3 linked regions of the Arabidopsis thaliana genome follow. The protein of the gene in region 3 interacts with the protein of the main gene of each other region in a pairwise test. Each region holds a gene or a part of one and is shown on either strand. Other genes may lie near its edges. The genes, in order: ERF10, AT2G31220 and LBD4.

Evidence for each region.
Region 1: the proteins of LBD4 (region 3) and ERF10 interact in a two-hybrid assay, tested with the Arabidopsis thaliana proteins (one large-scale study listed by BioGRID).
Region 2: the proteins of LBD4 (region 3) and AT2G31220 interact in a two-hybrid assay, tested with the Arabidopsis thaliana proteins (one large-scale study listed by BioGRID).

What each region holds. Positions count from the first base shown.
Region 1 is NC_003070.9:956,467-959,999, reverse strand, and holds ERF10 (ERF domain protein 10), read left to right. Parts: upstream 1-1,616; 5' UTR 1,617-2,001; coding exon 2,002-2,739; 3' UTR 2,740-2,896; downstream 2,897-3,533. Other genes in the region: AT1G03810 (Nucleic acid-binding, OB-fold-like protein), read right to left, coding at 391-572, 992-1,241.
Region 2 is NC_003071.7:13,300,891-13,305,371, reverse strand, and holds AT2G31220 (basic helix-loop-helix (bHLH) DNA-binding superfamily protein), read right to left. Parts: upstream 2,707-4,481; 5' UTR 2,620-2,706; intron 2,399-2,619; 5' UTR 2,359-2,398; coding exon 2,352-2,358; intron 2,300-2,351; exon of another isoform or gene 2,257-2,299; coding exon 1,439-2,256; intron 1,345-1,438; coding exon 895-1,344; intron 813-894; coding exon 711-812; 3' UTR 503-710; downstream 1-502.
Region 3 is NC_003070.9:11,210,904-11,215,139, reverse strand, and holds LBD4 (LOB domain-containing protein 4), read right to left. Parts: upstream 2,183-4,236; 5' UTR 2,034-2,182; coding exon 1,857-2,033; intron 1,450-1,856; coding exon 1,108-1,449; 3' UTR 573-1,107; downstream 1-572. Other genes in the region: PSAF (photosystem I subunit F), read left to right, coding at 1-129.

The sequences.
Region 1 (3,533 bases), about 10 Mb from region 3:
TGTATTTGAGAAAACAAAACACTTTTTTGGAGCAATTAATTATATTGTGCAATCTCCATTTACTTGTCTTTTATGAAAAGTGAAAGTAAAAACACTTTTAAGTTATACAAATCAAAGCTGTGAGTTATATTATGTTTATGCTAAAATTTTTTAACGTTTATCTTAATCTCAATTTATGACCATGATTAATACCAGCGACGAGTATGTGTTAAAAATAGAATCAAAAGACCAATAATACCAATTTAAGAGAACTATGCAAGACCAAAACTACACCATCATAATCTCAAAAGTAATCATAACTGAATATAATCTCAGTGACCTAGAGAGTTCTCTGAAAATTTAAATTAAATAATAACGAAGAGAAGTAGAGACAGACACCGGTTGTAGTCATTAAGCAGTAATTACTTCATACTCGACCAGAGAGAGATTGTTGGCCCGGTTAACCTCGAACGAAACAGGACCGGTTATTTCAATGCGTCCCCATCTGTCAACAGCCATTCTCATAGTGTCCTTGAACAAGTCGATCTTCGCATTCCTCAGTATAACTGTTGCTCCAGTCTTCATTAGATCAACTGCATTTGCAACCCCAAAAGAACATCATTAATTAGTACCATACATATTCTCACATATTGAATAGGAAGTTGTATAAATGTCAAACACAAACACACTAATCAAAGCTTAGAGATTAATGAAGTGGAACATATTGAACACTAATCAAAGCTTAGACATATATAAATAGATATACTCTGTTCATCAATAAACTAAACTATAAGCAAAATTATCTATAAAAAAAGTTAAACTTTATCAAAATCTCTGAAGTATAAATGTTTTAGATCTTCACAAACATAGAGATTCCAATCAAGGCATATATAAACCTAGAAACAGAGAAATTATGGAAAGATTGAACGCAATTTCGAGTGAAAACGATAGAGAAACGATTACGAAACCCTAACCAAGAGAACTTATATATGTAAATAATTAAGATCCTTACCTTGGTCGTTGCGAGCGGTGAAAAGAATGCATCCAGTATCGTCACCAATTAGGCACTCAGCGATACGAGGAGATGAAATTGGCTGCTGCGTCAACGAACTTTTACGAATCGCCGGTTTAACGGGATTCGATTCAAGGACTTTGACGATCAGAGTATGGCCGCTGGTTCCTGGTTTGAGCTGATCCACCTTCACAAACACTGGTTTACGCTTCGGCGCAGTCGTCGCGTTAGTATTCGCCGTCGTCGACATAGTGTCGTAATTTGAATCTCCTTAGGGTTTTTCAAAATAATTGACAACTTTGACGTGATGAAGAGTCGCGCTGGTAGATTAGGGTTTAGATTCTTCACAATGGTATTTAAATGAGAAAATTAGAAACAAATCTTACTCTGGATTATTATCTAAATTACTGGATTATAAATTACCACTAATTCATTTTTTGCGATTTTTAAAACGGTATACATTTTATTGGCGCGTTCAAAATTTGAAACTTAAACTCATTATATTTTCATATTATGCTTAATATTAGTCGAATTTTCTTTTTTTGACATCCAATATTAGTCTAAGCAGATTGTGGAGTAATAATAAATCATCAAATTTTGTTATAATGTAGCAATGTATCATCTACTCAATTTTTATGTATTATAACTTTTGTATCAAAGAATACAATTTTAGATTCATCAAGCTTTCTCGAAGTATATATTCGACATGGATAATTTCTAAGTACTTGTTTATCAGATTCTCAGATAAAATATGAAAAAGCCCAAAGATAATAACCTGTTAAAGCCCAAGCAACAAATGGCGCAAAACTGCGAGACGCAAGAACGGGGACGTTTAGGTTAAAACATAAAAAGGCGTCATAAAACTGTTTTCTCTTTAAGGCGGCGCGTCAGTCAATCCACGTGGACATTTCTTTCCACATTTTTGTCACTTTGTCCTTTTGTGGGATTACGTCACTTCTATAAAACAATAGTTTTGTCCTTTATCTAAATTATTCTCCCCCAACCAAAATATGACCACAGAAAAAGAGAATGTCACTACGGCCGTGGCCGTGAAAGACGGCGGAGAAAAGAGTAAGGAAGTGAGTGACAAGGGCGTAAAGAAGAGAAAGAATGTAACTAAGGCCCTGGCCGTGAATGACGGCGGAGAAAAGAGTAAGGAAGTGCGTTACAGGGGTGTAAGGAGGAGACCATGGGGGAGATATGCTGCGGAGATCCGTGATCCGGTAAAGAAAAAACGGGTCTGGCTCGGGTCCTTCAACACGGGGGAGGAAGCCGCCAGAGCCTACGACTCCGCTGCCATAAGGTTTCGAGGATCGAAAGCTACTACTAACTTCCCTCTAATCGGATACTATGGGATTTCTTCGGCGACGCCGGTGAACAACAACCTTTCCGAGACGGTGAGTGATGGAAATGCCAACCTCCCTCTCGTTGGAGACGATGGGAATGCTTTGGCTTCTCCGGTGAACAACACCCTTTCCGAAACGGCGCGTGATGGAACACTTCCATCGGATTGTCACGACATGTTATCTCCGGGGGTGGCTGAAGCGGTTGCTGGATTTTTCTTAGATCTGCCTGAAGTTATTGCGTTGAAAGAGGAGCTTGATCGAGTTTGTCCTGACCAGTTTGAGTCCATTGATATGGGGTTGACTATTGGTCCTCAAACCGCCGTGGAAGAGCCTGAGACTTCCTCCGCCGTGGATTGTAAGCTGCGAATGGAACCGGATCTTGACCTCAACGCAAGTCCCTAAAGATTGATCTGATGTTGTTGTCCTTGAATAAGTTTGTTATCTTGTCGCTCTTCTGATTGTCTGTACTTCTATTGGTTGATTCGTGCTTTTGGAGGACAAAACAAACATTTTTTTATGTATTAAAAAAAGGTAATTGAACTATTATCGTATCATAACCTAGCCAATGGATTTCGTGTTGACGTGGGGGATAAAGAAGTATTGGTGTCAGGTGGGTCGCACGTGTGTTTTTCGCCGTCCACAGTGACACGTGGAATACAACTTATCTCACTACTTACCTTTTTTACTCACGCGCTCTCTTTTACGGTGATATACACTAGCTCCTTGAATTAGTTATAACTTATAAGAGCAAAGGTAAATATCAAATGAGAGAAAGAAAAACATCTGTGACAATGATTGTATTTAATACCCCAGTAACAAACTGATCCAAAATCAAGATTCTCTTGATAAACAGAAATATGTATGTTTCATCACTTTGTTTATAGCAATGAGTATAGAGTCCACCAAAAGGAGTATATATGTTCATAGATCCCATACATGCATGTATGTGCTCATATATTATAATATTATGTAGTCAACACGTCTCGATATGTACATCTGTCGATGACATACACATGCCTCATATGAAAGCTACTAGCTTTCGTGTGGTGTCCAAAGAAGAACAATTGGAGAACTTGTCGCACCTTTTTATATACAAAAAAGGATGTGACATATAACTTTAGGGAGACGGTACTAACACAACTGTATTCTCGTCTACCAGGCACCAGCATAACCAAAACATAACACATTTCAGGGTG
Region 2 (4,481 bases), on a different chromosome or scaffold from region 3:
AAATGTGAAAATAGACTTCAAAACAAAAAAATACACATGAACGTGTTCGAAATAGGGAATAAGCAAAAAGGGTGACAGACAACGAGCAAAGACAAGAGCGTTGAGACAAAATCACATCCTTGTTTTTTTGTTTTAGATCTAAAACAAATTAACATTCACTAATTGATAGTACATTTTTTGTTTTGTCAAAGCCTAATTGATAGTACACATTATTAAATAAAAGCTTAAACACGTAATTCAACGGTAAATGAAAAATCGTAAAAAGAACCAGATTAAAATTGGCTCATTGTAAAAAGAACCACTGAAAATGTAAGCAAGTTTCTTAATTTCTAGTTAGAAAACCAGAATCGATAAAGAAGCAATGGTTTATAAATTCCGGACTGATGATTATTCTCAAACTTTTCAAACGACACGGCCCACTGGCCCATTAAGAGCAATATGAAACGTAAGGTAAATATGAGCAAGAGCATTTGTTAAAAAAAAAAACGCAAGAGATTAAAATGTGGTCGAAAAACGAAACCGATAAAGCTAGAAGAAATATATAGAGTTAGACAAAATCCAGACAAAGAGCCTCAGCTCTAGCTCTAACTTTAACTCTAGCTAAATAAACTTGAAAATTACCAAAGTGATTAATAACTTAATCAGTCATTAGAGGGGTATCACAAAAGTTATTAAAAAGCAATAAACTACTCCATAAGTGTGTCTGGAATCTAGTAGCCGTTGCTAGGAACAGCTTCCATGTACTGCTTCTCCACGACCTCCATCAATGTGTCTGCAATTCCACTTGCATACACACAAGATCCTTCACAAATCTGCCTCAAACCAAATTGAAAAAGATTAGTTTATTGGTTTGGAGTTAATAACAGAACTATATTAGTGAGACATTTTCATTACCTTAGTGTTGAACAAGAAGCTGTAATGTTCACCAATCTGTCCACCTGCAACATGGTGAAGATCTAGCTGAAGCTGATCAAGAACTTTGGTGGTGAACAACAAACAGTTAATCTTCTTCTTCTGAACAAGCTTGATGGTTACTTCATCATCGATTATACGTACATCGACCTCAGTGACTTTCGATTTCCTCTTAAGCCATGAACATCTCAGTGAGTTGTTGTTGTTCTTGTTGAAGCAAGACTGGTCTACTTCGCTCTGTGGCTTGTAATTCACAGTGTCTTCTTCTTCTTCTTGATCTTCTCCTCCTCCTCCTTCACCAACTCTAGCTCTCTTCTTGCTCCTGAATCTCCCACATCTCTTCTTCTCCACAAGCATCTTAAACTCCTCTATTGTCCTTAAAAGCTCTTTGATGTAATCTATCGCCTCTCCAACTATCGATGCTCTATCAATCTACAGAGATTAAACCAACAATGTCTCTCATTTCATAGTCTCCTCATACACATTAACAACATGAATTGAAATCAAAGCAAAGTAAAGTATATACCTTTGTGGGATTTGGAATGAGGTTCTTTAAGTCGAAGAAACGATCATTGAAGTGAACTCGTCTCTCACGTTCTGTAGGGGAAGTTCTCGACTTTCTTGATCCTCTTCCTTTACGAGTAACTCCATTGTTAAACTCAAGAATCTCATTCTCAAATCCACCATTGTTGTTGTTTGCTCCTTCAAAGTACAAAACATTCATTCCTCCATTAGCATCCATCTGAATTTGATCTTCAACTCCAAGTAAACAAGAGCCGTTTCTTAGCTGGTTCTGATCTCTAGGCTGCATAGGGAAATTCAAATGGAAGAGAGGGTCGTACATAACAGCAGCAGCAGAAGAAGAAGACATAATGTCTGAGAAAGAGGTAGGTAGCATAGAGGAAGGATGATGATTAGGAGGCAATGAGCATCTAGGCAAGTGTAAGAGACTAAGCAAATCAGGAGTTGTTGCAGAGTTAGGTCCCAAATTCACAAAATCCTGATACCCATTATCCCAATTAGAGTGTTGTTGTTGATGTGAAGCCATTTGGTGAATCAAATTGTTGTGGAGTTGATCACAAGGAGGAGGTGGTGGAGGAGGAGGATTGATGTGAAACTGGAGAGGTGTTGAAGAAGCTTGAGGACAATCTTGTGGGCTGAGATGGAATTCAGAGAGCTCTTCTACCTCAACACTGCAGTTGCTGTTGCTTGTGCTTCCGGCAACCAGAACTTGCGGTGGTGGTGGTGGTGGTTCGGCTTGAGAGAAGCTACTCTCCACCGTAACTTCTGCTGGAGTGTTGGGATCGAAACAACCCATTTCCTCGTAAAGGCTTTCTCTTTCTTCTGCGTTTGTAACTCAAACACTAATTTAGATCTTCCAGAACGAAAAAGGTAGCAACTTTCATGAGAAATTAGACCAAATAATGAAATTTTGTTACCTTCCATGGAAATGGTTCAACGAGTACTCTAGATGATTCTTTAACACCTGCAAATCAAAAGTAACATTCAACAATCTTTAAGAAGAAGAAAAACCAAAAATTTGAAACTAATTTCAAAAAAAGTTAGCTCTTTTATAATTTTGGAAACGAAACCATAGAAATGTTTGTTAGGATCCAAAAGATTAAACATTGGGTTAAGGGTTTGAATTTGACAATAGATAGAAAGAGATGTAAGATAATGAGTAATCAGAGCTGGGAAAATTAGAACCTTTGTTACAATTAATTCTTCTCTACGTCTGTCTTCTCAATTTTCAGGAGAAGAAGTAAGTTTTTTAAACAAGAGTCTCTCTCTCCCTCTCTGTGTTTGAAATATACGGACATTTGTAGATGGAGACACACAATACAATAAGGGTAAAAAGATGGCAAAGTTAAATTATTGGATAACATGTATATTCTAGGTGTCTAATTTAAACGAAAATGTTGTATATAATCCATTAAGCTATGTTTCTAATCCAACTTTGATGCATGATTTATTAAGGTTTTGATTTGTTACATGGTTTGTGAAATTACTTCTTGTTTATAGTCATTTTTTAAATCATTTTCTATGCAACTTATTTTTTGATTAATCATTTCAAATGTTGAAACCTGATTACCAAATACCAATATGATCCTAAACATATCTTTTAACACTTAACCAGTTGTAAGAAAATTAGCATTGTATATATTTCTTTTACGTTATAAGCTCACTTTTAAGAAAATATAAATTGGGTTTTTTTTGGGGGCTGTTTTGGTTGGAGCATGTGATTTATCATTGTGGCCAAACATAAAGGTTGGTTAGAAGAATCAACAGATGGGTCCCTTGCCGAATCTCTCAGGTCTTTTCAACGACTTTAGGGGTATTTCCGTCATTATCAGCAAATACGATCTTCTCTCTGACCAATATGATATGGGCTCCACTAACTCACACCGACAAACCAAGTAGCCCCGTTTGCTCTTTCCCATTTCTACCCTTTTCCTTTCATTTTAGTAAAATTTGGATAAAAATATCCCAAATACAAAATTGTAATTGATAAAAGTATTTTAACGCGAAACTATTTTCTTGTCTTAGATGTATGTTTTACTTCTATAATTAATCTCATGTTTAATATGTGTTATGTTTATGCAATCGTATTTTATTATATACTCGAATTGAAAAAACTCTTCGACTTAATACAAGAACCAAAAATACTAATGCACGGTTTAAATGGATATGTTTTGTATATAAAAAGTGTTCAGTTTTAATTTATGGATGATTAACTACCTTATCATCAACAATCATGGAATTATTTATCACATCATCTAGTTTGATTCATCTATACGTTGTACATGGCATTGATAAAACTTATGTATGTATATCATAGTTAAATAGAAGTATAAATACTTAAACCCCTGGGTTTTCTAATTTTATAAGTAAACTGTGTTCAACAACTAAACCATCATAGAATAGTTTCTATCTCAAACACTTCCTGTAATGTATATCGACAACTCACTTAATTAATCTAATTTAACACTTCCTTTCTTTGTGTATAATCGATAACATAAAATGATAAAATAAAAATTCATCCATAAGAAAAATATTTAGATACTTGAAGAGATGTATAATAGAGAATCTGGTAAAAAAATAACATGGACTGTATTGAATATAAATAATTCATTTCATTCATATATGTTTATATTTCAATCTTTTCTATTAAATTTTTCTAAATAAATAACAATTTTGGATCAAACTAATTGTATAAGTTTCCTTGTTGAGCGGTTGGGTCATGCGATTTCTGTTTATAGCAAAGAGAGCGGGTTGTTTGAGAAGTAGTGGAAGTAGGTCCCACATCCAAGAATGGGATAATAATATACTTTATATTTGATTTAGTAAAAAAAAGAATTAGGGTTATTCTTGAAATTCGACAGAAACTGAAAAAATTCTGGTCACCTACCTCTCTCGTACACGGTACACTGCGACTGTCCCCATCCTAACTAAACAGTACAAACTCTGATTACTCAGAAAATGTTAAAATGTATTGCCGGACCAAACCAACGATTTGGTTTTTGATATATTAAAAATGTAGTGCCGCTTGATTCGGTCCATACATAGCC
Region 3 (4,236 bases):
AAACCCGCGATGAAAGAGATCATCATCGATGTTCCTTTGGCTAGTCGGATCATCTTCCGTGGTTTCATTTGGCCCGTTGCTGCCTACAGAGAGTTTCTCAATGGTGATCTCATTGCTAAGGATGTTTAAAAAGGGAACTTGTTTTCTGCTTTTGTGTTACTCTCTCTAATCTCTTTGTTTTCCATTGTACTTATTGAAAAACAATGCATTGTCGAAAACCTTATAAAATTTGGATTGCGCAAGTAGAAAGAATTATGGCTAAAATGGTGATTGACAGATTGTGATTTTGCGGTCTAGTGATTGCTATGTGAAGCTCAATTGCTTGAAGGGAATATCCTGATATAACGCACAGGAGCATAACCAAATTTACTTAGTATAATGCTATTTTACCACTCTTGCATTTGCATGAATGCAGGAGAAGCTCTTGAACTATAATAGACTAAATTACTTGTGTTTCTTCTTAAGCTCACTGTAAATTTCTTACCACAAGCACATGCTCCGGTCCGGTCTTTCTGTTTCCTTCATATGCGAGCGATTCTATCAGCGACTATCAAATGGCAAATGTTTGCAAGGAAACCAAAAAATAAAGACAAATGGGCCATAAGTTTGCATAATAAAAATTCAGGCCCATACAAGTGCTTAGTGCTAATTGCTAAGCTAGACTTAGCTAGTATCAAAGATGACCATTACACGATAATATGCTCACAGAGTCAAGCACACACCATGGGTTACATGATCATAATTGTATATAGATATAGATAAATAATATATCTCACAAATTTACATTAGGTCAATAACAAAGATCCCTCCTCGGTTGGAAATGATCAAAATAACCCTACCGGATCATGATCCAAAGGTCCTACACATACACCAAATCCCAAATACCCCGGAATTACAAAGTTACAAATACTAATAAATATATAGAGAGAGATTTATAATATATAAATATATTTAGTATTTTTATGTATCTATATCATGTTAATAATTTCACTCTGTAGTCAAAACAGAGCATTTTCATATCCTACCCCTAAATTTAATATATAATAATCCCGAAATTTCCCAAAAAAGGAAGAGGAAATTGCAGTAGCAGAAAGAGAGCATTATTGACTAGCAAGACCACATAGACTCTCCCAAACTGGCTTCATCCACAATGTCCATATGGCTAAACATGCCCTTGTTGTCCTGTGGACTCACTTGCTTCGAAGACGGTGACCCGCTGCTACTCGGACTATCCGGGCATAGTCCGTGCCCTGGGAAATTAGTCGACTGGCGTACACGTAGATGCACCACCTCAGCTTGAGCTAGAGCTAGCTGAGCTTGCAACACATCTATCTGTTGCTGGAGGGACGAAATTGCCCCAACGCAACCGTAAACCGGATCCCGCACTCTTGCATTAGCCTCGTAAACCATGCTGCTCACAGCGTCCCCTCGCTGGTGGATTGGTAATTCCTGTTGAGTTTTTAAAACATTTTGTCAGCCACTAGACCAATTAATCTCGCAAGACTATATAAAATTTATATAATCCATCTCAAATGTAGACTCTACATCAGCTAGCTAAGAAATGTAAATCATATCATTAACATTAGCTAACAAAAGTTAATATGGTTAAAATTCAACATCAGCTAATAAATGTAACATATTCCTAAATTCTTAAAATTCAACAATTTTGTTTTTAAATCCCTAAACTTATAATATAAACGGGTCGGCCCATGTGGTAGTTGTCAATAAAAAGTTATGGAAATGATAGTAATGTCTCATCTAAAATAAGAAACAAGAAAATCATCCTAATTAAACCTAACCCAACATATGAGTAAGCACGTTTTAGATATTCTTAAGAAGAACAAGAAGAAAGAAACCTGAAGCATCTTGTTGACGTTGCTAGCACCGAACACTCTATGAACATTAGCAAATTTCTGAGGCTCATCGGCCGGAAAATACGGCGAGAAAACGCAATCTTGAGCGCACCGCCGCCGCAAAAGCTTACACGCAGCACACGGTGACGCAGCTCCTTGCTTCCGGCTACTTTCTTTCATCTCTCGCCGCCACGTGTCCTTTGGATATGTGAATTTATCTAGAAGAACTGAATCTCAACCGTTGGATTGTCAGTTATCGAGAAAGCTGTGGGAGGGTCTCTAGGTGAAGTGTGACGGATCTGTGGGGATTTATAGAGTGAGAAAGAGAGATGAATTAAATTAAATTAAAACTGAAAATTTCCAAAGATTTAAGACAAAAGTAAAAAAAATAAAAGTCAGCACATCTGAGAGTGGGACCCAGAGATTTGGAAAACTTTAGGTTTGTTTTGCTTTGGTCGTAGAGCAAAAATTAACATCACGTGACATGACCATTTTAGTTTTACTTTTGGCGCCAAATGCTATTTGTTTTTTTTATATTCTCTTTTTGTCTTTTACCCCTTATCTATTCTCATTGGTCTTAATTTTTTTTTTTAACTTTTGATTTCTTTTTCCCCTTAATTTGTTTTGCCTTTAATGTTTTCTTCGAATATGGTTGAATTAAATGGTACAAGTTGTAATTAATATTCGGAATCACCACAAAACTAAATAAAGAGAAATTGTAAATGATATACTCCCTCCGTTTCACAATATAAGTTGTTTTACCTAAAAGTACGAAGATTAAGAATATTTACTTTTAAAAAGTTCAACCAATCACAAAAGAGACTGCATAATATAAATAATTATAAAATATTAAAATAAATATATAGTTTGCATAAAAACTTAAAAACAATTTAATTGTAAAACAAAAAAATTGGTCCAAAACAACTTATATTATAAATCGAAGAGAGTATAAAAATATTAATCAATTTACTTTATAGCAATTGGTTTTGAAATAGTCGACCTATAAACTTTAATATTGGAATTCTATACTCTTTTTTTTGTAGAGTGAGCTACAAGAGGGTTTTCTGTTTGGAATGTTACATCTTTATTGAAAATGTGTATAGGATAAGGAAATTTATGGCCTCGTGCTTGTGCATGTAATCATTGTTTCTATATCTTTTGTGTATTGAGATTCTCACAACTTTCTACGTGGTCCCTCAATTTGCATAGAAGGGGATTAATATTAAAATCTGAAACAAATGAAACTTAATTTTCCATTGCTTAAAAATCGTGGAAGGGTAAAGTGGAAATCTAAGAAGCAATTCAAAGGAATTAGAGGTATCAATCTAACAACAGATATTTTAAGTTTGATCATAAACTTTAGTAAACTATAATGGACAAGTCTTTATCACCGGTGGTTGGGTCAAGGGTTGAAAGTTTAAACGATGGTGGATGTCTTCTTTTCGGATTCTGTGTGGTGTGGTTAGATCTTCTGTTTTGATGCAAGTCAGTGGTTCTTATTCTCGACTGCTTTGAGTTGATGTTCCTACGTTTTGCTGGTCGAGGACTCTTACAATTTTCTCTCGGCTCGGTGATTTCTGAGATGTAGTTCTAGTTGCGACATAAGTTGGGTTACATCTCTTAGACAATGTAGGTAATACTAATATTGATGTATAAAAAAAAATGCAAAGATATCTATTTGTTGATATTTTAGAACATAAAACAGTATATTCTTAGAACAGAAATATACTATTTTCACATGTACCCATATCAAGATTTTGTTTTTAGTACATTTACATATTATCAAGGTTTTCATTACATATTTGAAGCAGATTTTGTAAAAACTCATTTTACGGTCATTATAAAAAGAGAAAAAACAACCTTAAAATAAACACAAAAAATATAGGGGCAGGGCAACAAAATGTCTAGTCTTTCACTAGTCAAAAAATAAAGTTGAAAGAAACAATACAGTGCACGCTATTTTATTTTCGTAGAAAAAGACAAAAAAAAAAAAAAATTAAAAAAATTAAAAAAAGAAAACGCCCACAGCTTTCGAAATCAAAGATAGCCTGAAAATGACGAATGTAGAACATTTTACAAGGACGACAAAAAAAAACATTTTAGAAGAAAACTCCCACAGCTTTAATAGAAAAAACTGTAAATTCTTTTCATGAGATGTAATATACTGAGTATTAAAACTAACTTTGCTTGTGTACAAATAGGCAAATCTATGTATATTTGCGATTATCATGTTCTTGTTAGAGCTATGTTGATATATATAAAATCGTTTTTTTAGTCGTAATTGGCGATAGAAGAAGACTCCAAAATTTCATGTCAACAAAAAGAAAAAGGAAAGAAAATTCCAAAATGAATTTGGAAGAATTTAGAAAGATAATATTCTTTT